Canis lupus familiaris: one gene and its partners. The protein of the gene in region 1 interacts with the protein of each later gene in a biochemical or structural test. Links are inferred from orthologs where the notes say so. Each region holds a gene or a part of one and is shown in the gene's direction. Other genes may lie near its edges. The genes, in order: NPR2, NPPC and NPPA.

What was found.
Region 2: the proteins of NPR2 (region 1) and NPPC form a complex in vitro, tested with the Homo sapiens proteins (3 studies listed by BioGRID). The link is inferred for Canis lupus familiaris from reciprocal best matches to the Homo sapiens genes NPR2 and NPPC.
Region 3: the proteins of NPR2 (region 1) and NPPA form a complex in vitro, tested with the Homo sapiens proteins (3 studies listed by BioGRID). The link is inferred for Canis lupus familiaris from reciprocal best matches to the Homo sapiens genes NPR2 and NPPA.

What each region holds. Positions count from the first base shown.
Region 1 is NC_049232.1:52,614,276-52,618,018, forward strand, and holds the start of NPR2 (atrial natriuretic peptide receptor 2), read left to right. Parts: upstream 1-1,356; 5' UTR 1,357-2,071; coding exon 2,072-2,738; intron 2,739-3,553; coding exon 3,554-3,743. UniProt on the Homo sapiens protein: Receptor for the C-type natriuretic peptide NPPC/CNP hormone. Has guanylate cyclase activity upon binding of its ligand. May play a role in the regulation of skeletal growth.
Region 2 is NC_049246.1:43,898,929-43,902,671, reverse strand, and holds the start of NPPC (C-type natriuretic peptide), read left to right. Parts: upstream 1-1,307; 5' UTR 1,308-1,440; coding exon 1,441-1,530; intron 1,531-1,987; coding exon 1,988-2,278; 3' UTR 2,279-2,298; intron 2,299-3,743.
Region 3 is NC_049223.1:83,881,271-83,884,967, forward strand, and holds NPPA (natriuretic peptides A precursor), read left to right. Parts: upstream 1-1,274; 5' UTR 1,275-1,449; coding exon 1,450-1,566; intron 1,567-1,667; coding exon 1,668-1,994; intron 1,995-2,751; coding exon 2,752-2,757; 3' UTR 2,758-3,073; downstream 3,074-3,697.

The sequences.
Region 1 (3,743 bases):
TAAAGATATATAAACACCTAAGAATAAAATGTCATTGTCCTTAATTTCCCCCCAAAACCACTAGGTGTCGCCTTCATCTCAAAGAAACTAGGCCCCTCCTCTCTGCACACCTACACCCCTCCCTCTACTCTTGGAGCTCTCAGTTTCTTGGCACTGTGGTTTCCGGAGAAGAGGGTTGGAGGGGGAGACAAACTGTGGCTCTCTGAAGGGGGAGGAGAATAGATTTATGTACATCTCCTTTATGACAATTTGAGAGAAACTCCCCAAGGTCCTATAGCAGCCCCTCCCAGCAACCATGATATCATCCCTCATAAGCTGTTCTCAGGATCAGATTGGCATGCCAGATGGGGGTATCTGGGGAGAGCCTTCTAGGTTGTAGGCTTGGGAGCAGGATGGAACCCAAGGGGGATACAGTGGGCTTCCATTGGCGGGGAAATGTTCTGCTTAGTCAGCCCATGAGCTGTTATCAGGTGCAAGCCTGGGCTGTGCAGGGAGACAAAGAGGGGAGGCTGTTCCTGGGCTGGGTCCCTGGAGCAGATGGTGTGGTAGAGGCCCAGCAGGCTATGGTGGGCCTCTGAGGGCATGGGAGGGCCCAGAAGGGAGCATGGGGAAGGAAGAGGGAGGTTGGAGGGCTGAGGTCTAAGGAAGAAGGAGACCAACCCATGGGCTTTGTAAGGGCTCAGGCAAAATCAGTCATCGGAGTCCCTTGGTCCTGGAGGCGTCAGTCTTCCAGGTAGCAGGCATGTGTTCCTGGTGAAGGAGTGAGAGGTTCCTGGCAATGAGAAGGGTGCTCTGGTTTACTAGGTGGAGAACAAGTGAGGATACCAAACATTTGGGGATTCCTGACTGCTTCCTGGAGACGGGAGCGTTGGAGGGACTCAGGGGAGTGGAGAGGGGACTCTAAGAACAGCGGGATGTGCGAGTGGGGAGAAGAGAAGTTCTGGGCTCGCGGCCCTGTGCAAGATGGGGAGAGAGTGGCGGAGCGGGCCGGGGCTTGGGGGAGACAGAAGTAGGCCCTTGAAGTGAGCGGGCGCCCGGGAACCTCGCCTGCCTGCCAGGCCCTAGCGCGGAGCCCCTGAGCTGTCCCTGGATGGGTTGGAGACCTGGGACGTCCCCGGGCGCCGGGGTAGGGGGTGGGGGGGGAGACAGCAGGCGCCAGAGGGTGGGGCGGGAGGGGGAGGAGGAGGGGCCGCGGGGGCGGGGGCGGGGTAGGCGCGGGGCGGGGGCGGGGGCGGGCGCGGGCGCGGGCGGCCTGCCCGGGGAGTCACACTCGGCCGCCGCCGCCGGCGCAGCGAGCGGAGACGGGCCGGGCCGCGGCGACCTGACCTGGACTAGCGGCGCGCCTGGGGGCCCAGGCGGGGGGCGGGAGGAAGCGCCGGCAGCGGCGGCCGCCCGGGCCCAGGAGGAGCGGAGCACAGAGGAGCTGGGACACGGGCGGGGCCGCCGCAGCTCCGGATGGGACCGGCGCCCTGGGCCCGTTAGTCCAAGCAGGAGCTTCAGGAGAAGCCTTCACAGGGAGATTTACCCCTGCCTTTCCCTCTCCTCCGGCCCAGGCCTCGCTTCGCTCCCCGCCCGCCCATGGTCCCAGTCCTTGGGCGGCGCGGGCCCCCTCCCACCTTGCCCCCTTGGTCCTCCTTTCCGCAGCCCTCAGCCCTCCTCCTAGCCCCTTCAGCGGTGAGGTACCCCCAGGCCTTTCCTTTGTACCAGCCTCCCCCCCACCCCCACCCCGTCCCACTTTTCCTTCTCAGCTTTATCAGGCTTCTCCACCTCTCACTGTCCCCATCCCTGTCGCAGGCCCCCTGGGTCCCTCCCTTTTCCTGCCACCCAACTCAGCCCTCAGTCCTTGCCCCAGGCTGGTAGACCCACTCCTTCCTCACCCATCCCCGGGGGGCTTCCTGCCATCTGCTCCTCTCCCATCCCCACCACTTTCTGTATCCCAGCCTACCTAGCTTCTCCTCACTTCTCTTCCTGGCCATCTTCCCCAGGTCCCAGGCTGGGTGGTGCTTGTGCCTCCCTGGTAGGCCAGAGTGGCGCCAGGTTCTGGGGGCGGGGGGGCTGCTGCTTTCTCCCCATGGCACTGCCATCACTCCTGCTGTTGGTGGCAGCCCTGGCAGGTGGGGTGCGTCCTCCCGGGGCGCGGAACCTGACGCTGGCGGTAGTGCTACCAGAACACAACCTGAGCTATGCCTGGGCCTGGCCACGCGTGGGTCCTGCTGTGGCACTAGCTGTGGAGGCGCTGGGTCGGGCACTGCCCGTGGACCTGAGGTTTGTCAGCTCTGAACTAGATGGCGCCTGCTCTGAGTACCTGGCACCGCTGCGCGCTGTGGACCTCAAGCTGTACCATGACCCCGATCTTCTGTTGGGCCCCGGTTGCGTGTACCCTGCTGCCTCTGTGGCCCGCTTTGCCTCACATTGGCGTCTCCCCCTGCTGACTGCCGGTGCTGTGGCCTCTGGTTTTGCAGCTAAGAATGAGCATTATCGTACCCTGGTGCGCACTGGCCCCTCTGCTCCCAAGCTGGGTGAGTTTGTAGTGACATTACACGGGCACTTCAATTGGACTGCCCGTGCTGCCTTGCTGTATCTGGATGCTCGCACAGATGACCGGCCTCACTACTTCACCATCGAGGGCGTCTTTGAGGCCCTGCAGGGCAGCAACCTCAGTGTGCAGCACCAGGTGTATGCCCGTGAGCCAGGGGGTCCTGAGCAGGCCACCCACTTCATCCGGGCCAACGGGCGCAGTGAGTGTGGCCCAGGCTATCTGAGGGTCAGGGGAGGAGGGTCGCTGGATCCCTGGAGCTCAGCGCTGGGGAATTGTAGATGGAGGTGGGCATGGAGGAACTGTACATGGTGGTTGGGGTCGAGAAGCACTTGTGGACAGAGCACCTGTGAGAAGGTTGAGGCATTATATTAGGGGGGCCCATGGACGGCACAGGCAGATGTAAACAAGGGATAAGATTTAAGATTGAATGAGAAGTGAATCCTGCATCAGGGAAGAATGTGGGATTGCGGGGGAATTGAATTTGGGGAGCAGTATGAAATTAGTGCTCGAGTAGTGAATGTGTGTCCATCTGTGAGCAGAGACTTATGAGATTGGGACACCAAGACCCCTTGGTGGCAGAAAAGGAGTGAGGACTCCATAAATGAACCTTTGGGTTTAGCAGATTTGTTTGGGAAAGACAGGGAAAAGCTGACACTGAGAGAAATTTTGAGATGTCAGTGCCTTTGAGGCTAGGGGAAGGCAGGGCAGAGCAGGGCAGTGAGGAGGGCTGGGTGGGGTGCAACAATCAAGAGCTCTGTGAAGAGGAGGGGCTTACAGCTGATAGCTCCCTTCCTCTGGGGTCTGGAGTCAGACTCTGACCTCTGCCAGATGGTCCATAAGGCCTGAGGGTCCTTATGACATAGACTCCCGGGGGAAGGGATGGGGAGCATATGTTGGGTGGTTGATAGGTTAGGGCACTTTCTTCCTTGCTAAAGATGGAAGTGCAGATGGTTCAGAGAAGAGGCTGTTTGGGGACTTTCTCAGAATGTCCCTCTGTCTTGTACCCGTTCCTAGTTGTGTATATCTGTGGCCCTCTGGAGATGCTGCATGAAATCCTACTTCAGGCCCAGAGGGAGAACCTGACCAATGGGGATTATGTCTTCTTTTACCTGGACGTCTTCGGGGAGAGTCTTCGTGCAGGGCCCACACGATCTACAGGCCGGCCCTGGCAGGACAATCGTACCAGGGAACAGGCCCAGGCCCT
Region 2 (3,743 bases), on another chromosome or scaffold:
GGGGTGGGGGGGGAGGGGAAGCAACATACAAACTCCCGCAGGCACCTGTACCTGGCTTCGGTCTTGGCACCTAGGGACCACCGCCCTGGCCCCGGGGAGTGCTCTCCAGCAGAGTCCTGTGGGGTGGCAATGGGATCATACATTTCTGCACCTCACTCAGTTCTTGAGGTCCCAGGCTCTCTGCCTCCTCTGCCCATCCCGAAGGGACTCCTTGGAGCCCAAGGCATTAAGACACTCTGTCCCAGGAGAGGGAGTTGTGAGCAGCGGGTCTAGGTGACTTTGTCCTGACTATCTAAGGCTGAAAAAAAGGAAGGCAACCACCTGTCACGTCCCCGGAAGCCATACTGGGCTCGAAGCTGGTAAAGCTCTCTCTGCAGCCGGTGCAGGTGCGCGGGTCCGCGCGGAGAACGGCCTGCTCGGCGCGGGGACAGACTGGCTCAGGTGCACACCGGTGAGTGCACACGAAAGCTACCGGGGTCAGACCTCGAGGGTTCGGTGCAGCGGACCCGGCTGAGCGCGAACTTAGAGCCACAGTGACGGGTACAGGATGCTCCTGCACACACGCGTGGGCACCGGTATCTGCGGCCTCCCGTCTTAGCCCATCCGGTTCGCGTTTCACTCTCAGAAACACCCGCAGGCAAAAAGCTTGCAGTCTCCGGTGTAGGACTTGCGCTCCCCCCTGCGGCCCCGGGGCAAACCTCAAACCTCGCTCTCCCTGCGCCTCAGGCCCAGCTTCCACCCCATCCTCTGCCTCCCTAACTTAAAGACGTTGGTGCGGTCTGAACTCCCGAGTAGGTGAAAGGTACTGGAGCCGCAGTACCAGGCCTGCTCCTGCCTGGTGCCCAGGGAAGAGTTTGGCAACAAGGCAGATCTGCGTGGATTTCGGGCTGTGCCAACTTTCTGGCTGTGTGGCTTTGGGCAAATGACTTAATTCCTCTGAGCCAGTCTTTGCACCTGCAAAGAGGGAAACTGATCCCTCCTAGGGAGAGCGCGTGTGTTGAGGTCCAAGCGTGTGTGCGGGGCACCGGGAGCACCAACGCTTGGCATGCCTGGCACGCGCTCGCTGCAAATGGAGTTCCCTGTGCGCGCCGCTGTGCAGCCGCGAGTGCGGCGGGAGAGAGCTGGCGGAGCGGCATCCCTCGGGGGTGGGATGTAGGTGGGGGCAGTGGGGGAGCCTCCACGGCCCCCTCCGGGCCCTCGGCGCGCGTGCCATTGGCCCGGGCAGCCGGGTGGGCGGGAGGATGACATCAGCGGCAGGTTGGATTATAAAGGCGCGAGCGGAGCCGCGGGTTCAGAGCGCACCCAGCCGGCGCCGCGCAGCACTGGGACTCGCGCCCACACCGCAGCCCAGCCTGCCTGCTCCGCGCTCGCCTGCCCGTCTGCCCGCCGCCCGTGCGCCCTCGCTGCCGCTGGTCTGCGCCCCTCGACCCCACCGGCACCATGCACCTCTCGCAGCTGCTGGCCTGCGCCCTGCTGCTCACGCTACTCTCGCTCCGGCCCTCCGAAGCCAAGCCCGGGACACCGCCGAAGGTGGGTGCTGTTGCATGGACATCGGGACTGTGAGGGGCTGTGGGAGGGCTGGGGGCCTAGGAGGCTGCAGCGCACGAGAGGGAGCAGAGGGCGCGAAGGCGGCCCTCTCCTCCGAGACGTGCACGGGTGCGAGCCGGGGAGCCCTCGACACCGCCTCGGGGGGCTGCATCCCCAGCCTCAGGAGAACGTCGACAGATGCGCAGCCCCTGCCCCAGTGTGGCCAGCCCGGCAGGGCGCAAAGGACGGGAGGGCAAGGGCTCCCCTAAGGAGCCGACAAGGCGGCTGCGTGGCAGGTGGATGCAGGGCCGAGCCGTCCCGCGTCTGTGGGGGCGCGCTCGGGTCTCCGAAGGGACAAATCGCGCTGGCGGGGCGTCGGGCCAGAGCAGCAGGGGTCCCGCCAAGTACCTGGCGCTGCCGCGGGGCGTCCCTTCACCTGCCGGTCCTTTCCCTCGGACAGGTCCCGCGAACTCCGCCCGGGGAGGAGCTGGCCGAGCCCCAGGCTGCGGGGGGCGGTCAGAAGAAGGGCGACAAAACTCCCGGGGGCGGCGGCGCCAACCTCAAGGGCGACCGGTCGCGACTGCTCCGGGACCTGCGCGTGGACACCAAGTCGCGGGCCGCGTGGGTGCGCCTCCTGCATGAGCACCCCAACGCGCGCAAATACAAAGGAGGCAACAAGAAGGGTTTGTCCAAGGGCTGCTTCGGCCTCAAGCTGGACCGGATCGGCTCCATGAGCGGCTTGGGATGTTAGTGCGGCGACCCCTGGCGGCGGTGAGTACCACCAACCCGGCCCGGGGCCTGTGCGCACCGAGCTCCCCCGACCCCCGCCCGCAGCCCGGGCCTCCCGGATCCCCCGCGGCGCCCTTTGGAGGAGACCCAGGCGATCCCGGCACGAGCGAGCGTGTGCGCGCGAGCCATTTGCCCCCAACCCCATTATCGTCCCATTTTACAGATGAAAAAAGTGAGGGATAAAGCGGTTAGGGGACTTGGGCGAGGTCAGAAACGGCTCCACCCGGATGAGCCACCTAACCTCCTCTAGAGAAGCCGACAGCTTGCATGGACACCGCGACTGTGAGGGGCCGTGGGAGGAGTGGGGTCCTGCTCACACCCGGACCCTGAGCAAACCAGCAGAACTGGTCCCAGTTGACCATTTGAGGGTATTGAGGGGAGACCGTGGGTTTGTGGGAGCAGAGAAGGAAGGGCATACGCACAAGCGGAGGGTAAGTTTACCTGCCAGCCCTGGATCGTGGTGCCCAGGCAGTAGGCAGCCCAGAGGTCAGGGCTCTTTCCCGGGACTAACTTGGACATACTTGGAAAAACACCTGCCCCTCCACAATAGAATAGCCCTCTGTTGGCATCACCAGGATGCCCTTCTGCCCCAAAGCTTTCTAATTCTTACCCCTTCTCTAACCTGCCGCTATGAGCAAACTGGTCTGTCCAGGGTCCTGATGCTGCTTGCTGCCTTTGTGACTTCAGGATAGAACCCCAGTGTTTGTGGCACTATTTCAGGGCAGGGAAAAAGACTAAAATAAATCTCTTTTTTTTTTTTTTTTTTTTTTTTGCCCCAACTTGGACCTCAGCATGTCCCAAATTGAGCTCCTCCCCAGCTTCCCACCTCCATCATGCCTGGGCCCCTCCACTAGGGCTGGAAACCCCTGTGCTACCTTCAGCCCCTGCCAGCATCCTGGCAGTGTGGCAAAGATGGTCCCCGCCTCCGCCCTCCTGTCCACTCCTGCTGCCCTTCAGTTCCCATGGAAATACAGAGCCCACCTCTGAAGTTCACATTTAAGAACTGACTCTGGTTTTCAACCTTTCCCTGAAGCCTGGCTGCTGCCATCCTTGGTCCCACAGCCTATCTATCCCACTCCAAGACCACGGGCAAGCCGTTCTCTTGCCCAAGAAGCCCTGTCAGTGTCCACACTGTCTTCCCCCAGAGGGCAATGAGTGTGCCCCTCTTTGGAGCTCTCCAGGACATTGCCTCAGCACAGAACACTTTTCATCTGAACCATTGTTGTTTGGGAACCTATTTACCTCCTCCAAATTAACTCATGAGCAGCTTGAGGGCCAGGTGCCTGCCTAAGGTGATCTGGGACCGACAGCACTCCCACAAGAGGCTTTTAAAAATGTTTGTCGATGGCCAGAGAAACATGCCCCACCCAGCTCAGGGGCACTCCTCTCCCACCTGCCCTGGGTTTTTCCTCCGTGCAGCCAGACTT
Region 3 (3,697 bases), on another chromosome or scaffold:
GTCTGCGCCCCCCTGAACGGGCGGTGATGGCAGTTAGGTCATCCACACGGAGCTCTCGGTACAGCGTCTGGCACATACAGCTGCTCAATAAAGGTAACCGTCAGTACCATCTTGCAAACAGATGGCCCTTCATGGTGCGTTCACACCTTAGTTCACCTGACAACCTTGGTGGGGGGAGCAGGTTTTTACAAATGGGGAAAATGAGGCGGTGATGATGTGTGTAACCCGGTTTGTCTGGGGCTACGATGCAGGCCTCTCCACCCTTCACACTTAGCATTTGCCCCCCGGTACCTGGTGCATCGAGTAGGAAGCAATCAATCCATCAATGTGGAGTTCGGTGCTCAGTGAATGGAAGCCACTCGTTACACGTGGACAGGACAGTCTTGCTGCCTGTAAATTCTCTTTGGGGCCAGGAAAGCAGAGGCCTTGGTGGCTCATCACTCGTGTGGCCTCGCAGCAGGACGCAGGAGGCATTAAGGGAAACCGTGTGCCACTTCCCCACCCGCCGACTCGCCAAGGGAGGTTTCCCGGGAGGGTTGGGGGCGTCGGAAGCCTCACATTCAGAGCCTGGGGTTCTATGGGCAGCGAGGTGATGGGATGAAAATGTTGGCATCTCTACAAACCCACCTCCCTCCACACTGCAGAGGGGAAGGAGGAGGGGCTTGGCGGAGGGATGGCTGTGTTTCCAAAACTTTGCTTGGTGTTTATGTCTGGGAGCTGAATTCTTGGGACACTCATCACATTTGGTTCCAGGCTGACTATTTAATACTCTAAAAAATAACTCCCTCTTCACCTGACCGCTGAGAGCGAGTGCCAGGAGCGAGGGCGGCCCAGCTGGAGGGGAGGTCTGCCCCCACGGCCGATGAGTCAGGTGTGAGGCCAGCGTGAGCATCTGGACTAATTTGTCCCGAGCTGCAGGCTTCCTGCCACTTCCTCCCCTCCCGCCCTTATTTGGAGCCCCTGACAGCTGAGCAGAAAACCAACCGGGGGAGCTGGGCGCCGGCCAACCGTCACCCTCTGCCTCCCTGCGTGGGTCCCGTTGCTGAGGAGAAAGAAGCCCCAGGCATCGCTGTAAGATAACCAAGGACTCTTTTTTGCTCTTCTCACACCTTTGAAGTGGGAACCTCTTGAGGCAAATCAACAAGAATGTGGCTCTTGCCGCTGAGGGTCCGGGGCTGTTGGGCTGCTCAAGGTGGAGGGGTAGTGACAGGCTCTGCGGGCCTGATAGCTTTAAAAGGCCATCTTCTGCTGCTCCTCATTCAGCTGCTTTATCGCTGCAAGTGACAGAATGGGGAGGGTTCCGTCCCTCTTGTGCTCTTGGAGAGCCGGGGGGCTATAAAAAGAGGAGGCGCAGGGCAGCTGGGAGACAGAGGCAGACGGAGGCTGAGAGAGGGAGGCGAGAGGACAGGGGAGCAGCAAGCACCGGGCCACTCCTCGAGCGACGCCAGCATGGGCTCCCCCATCGCCGCAAGCTTCCTCCTCTTCCTGGCAGTTCAGCTCCTGGGGCAGACGGGCGCTAACCCCGTGTACGGCTCTGTGTCCAACGCAGACCTGCTGGATTTCAAGGTAGGGCCAGAACAGGGGCCACAGTGCGGGGCCAGGGGGCCTTGTGACGCTGTGCCGGTCAGTGAGACCTCTCCCTTTCCCTGTGTGTTCCTTTTGTAAAGAACTTGCTGGACCGCTTGGAGGACAAGATGCCTTTAGAAGATGAAGCCGAGTCTCCCCAAGCCCTGAGTGAGCAGAATGCGGAAGCTGGGGCAGCTCTCAGCCCCCTGCCTGAGGTGCCTCCCTGGACGGGGGAGGTCAGCCCAGCCCAGAGAGATGGGGGTGCCCTTGGGCGCAGCCCCTGGGACTCCTCCGATAGATCTGCCCTCCTGAAGAGCAAGCTGAGAGCCCTGCTTGCTGCCCCTCGGAGCCTGCGGAGGTCCAGCTGCTTCGGAGGCAGGATGGATAGGATTGGAGCCCAGAGCGGACTGGGCTGCAACAGCTTCCGGGTAAGAGATGCTGGGGATGGATACAGGATGGGGAGGAAGTTAGTTGTGGTTTCACCCTGTCAAAAAGTCCGGCCAGGGCATGCCTCCTGCAGTAGAGACCAGGGTGGAAGCTTACTTCCTTTGAAATGCTTGCCCCAACTTGGGGCAATGACCTCATCCTCAGCTACAGGCTGCCAAGGATACTCTAAGGGAAAAAAAAGGTACTGCCATGAACACTGGGAACTTAAAATGTTCATGGGGCCAAATCACCTTCATCCTGCTGATCGGTAGTTCATGTTTCTCCCCAGAATTGCCAGATCCCAAAGGATGAAATGATCATGACCAGGTTGGGGTGCTTGGGTGGCTCAGTAGGTTGAGCGCCCGACTCTTGATTTCCGCTTGGGTCATGCTCTCATGGGTTGTGGGATCGAGCTCCAGGTGGGGCTCCAGCCCCATGTCCATCTCCATGCTCGGCGGGGAGTCTGTTTGAGATTTCTCCCTCTGCCCCTCCCCTCACGCACACATGGATGTGCTGGTGCTCTTCTCTTTCTCTCAAATAAATAAATCTTAAAAAGAAAAAAAGCAAGCAAGCAAGCAAGCAAGCCATCGGGGTTGACTTCTAACTTTTACCGAGCAACTTGTGCACCCATTCGTGAAACTCCTGGCGTTGTCAGGCTGGGGTGGGGGGTGCTGGTGGGAAGTGAACACAGTCCTGTGAGATTGACCTTTCCAAAAGAGCCAGGTCACCAAGTCAAACTTGTGTCTGTTCTCTTTGTAGTACTGAAGATAATGGCCAGGGAGGAAAAGGAGGCCCTGGCCCGGGGGCAGACTCTGAGAGACCCTCGTCCCTTGGGGTCTCTCACTCAACTTTGTCCCAGCTCATTGCCATCAAGTTGAGCCGTGACGAGCACCGAGACCGTATTCAAGCTGCAGCCTCTTGGCGATGTTTCTCACGTTCTATGCTAAACGTAGATAACTTGGCTGAATTGTGGCTTTCCCACCCCTCCCACCCCACGCGTTAACAGTTTAGCATAGACACTCACCTGTTACTGAAAGGGGTTTGAAAACCAATAAACTTCAGCACCACGGACAGCAGCCAAGTCTGGGTTGGCGTGGTTGGCGTGCGGGTGGCGTGGTTGGCGTGGTCTTTCTTCTCCCAGTCTGAGGACCCGGTTACCTTTTGCCAGAGAGGAGAGCGCTCAGTTTCTTTCTTCTTCCTTTCAAACACAGTACGCTCTATTTCGGGGAGCAGTTTCAGGTTCGCTGCCAAATTAAGCAGAAAGTACAGAGGTCTCCCACAACCGCCTGCTGCACACACGCAGGGCCTCCCTCCCGCACGGCCAGAGCCGTGCCCTTGCTACACACCATGACTCTACACCAGCACATTCTTACCACCCGGAGCCCACACTTGACATTAGGGTCAAGCCTTGGTGTTGAGCATTCTGCGGGTTTGGACAACTTTTTTTCTCCTTTCATTCCCTCCCCAGCCCTCACCCCCAGCTTTTTCCTTGGTTGGAGGTGTGGGTGGGGCTCAAATTGCAGTTCACAATCTTGTTTCTTCACTCTGGCCTCATCACAGATCCCGAAAATGCCCCAGGAGATGGACGGAGAGGGCACTTATTTTTCAGATTTTGCTCACACTCGGGGCACTTATTTATTGAAGAGGAAACTTAACAAACATCTGGGCTTTTTTCATGGTGGCATCAAATGTCGCTTGTACTCCA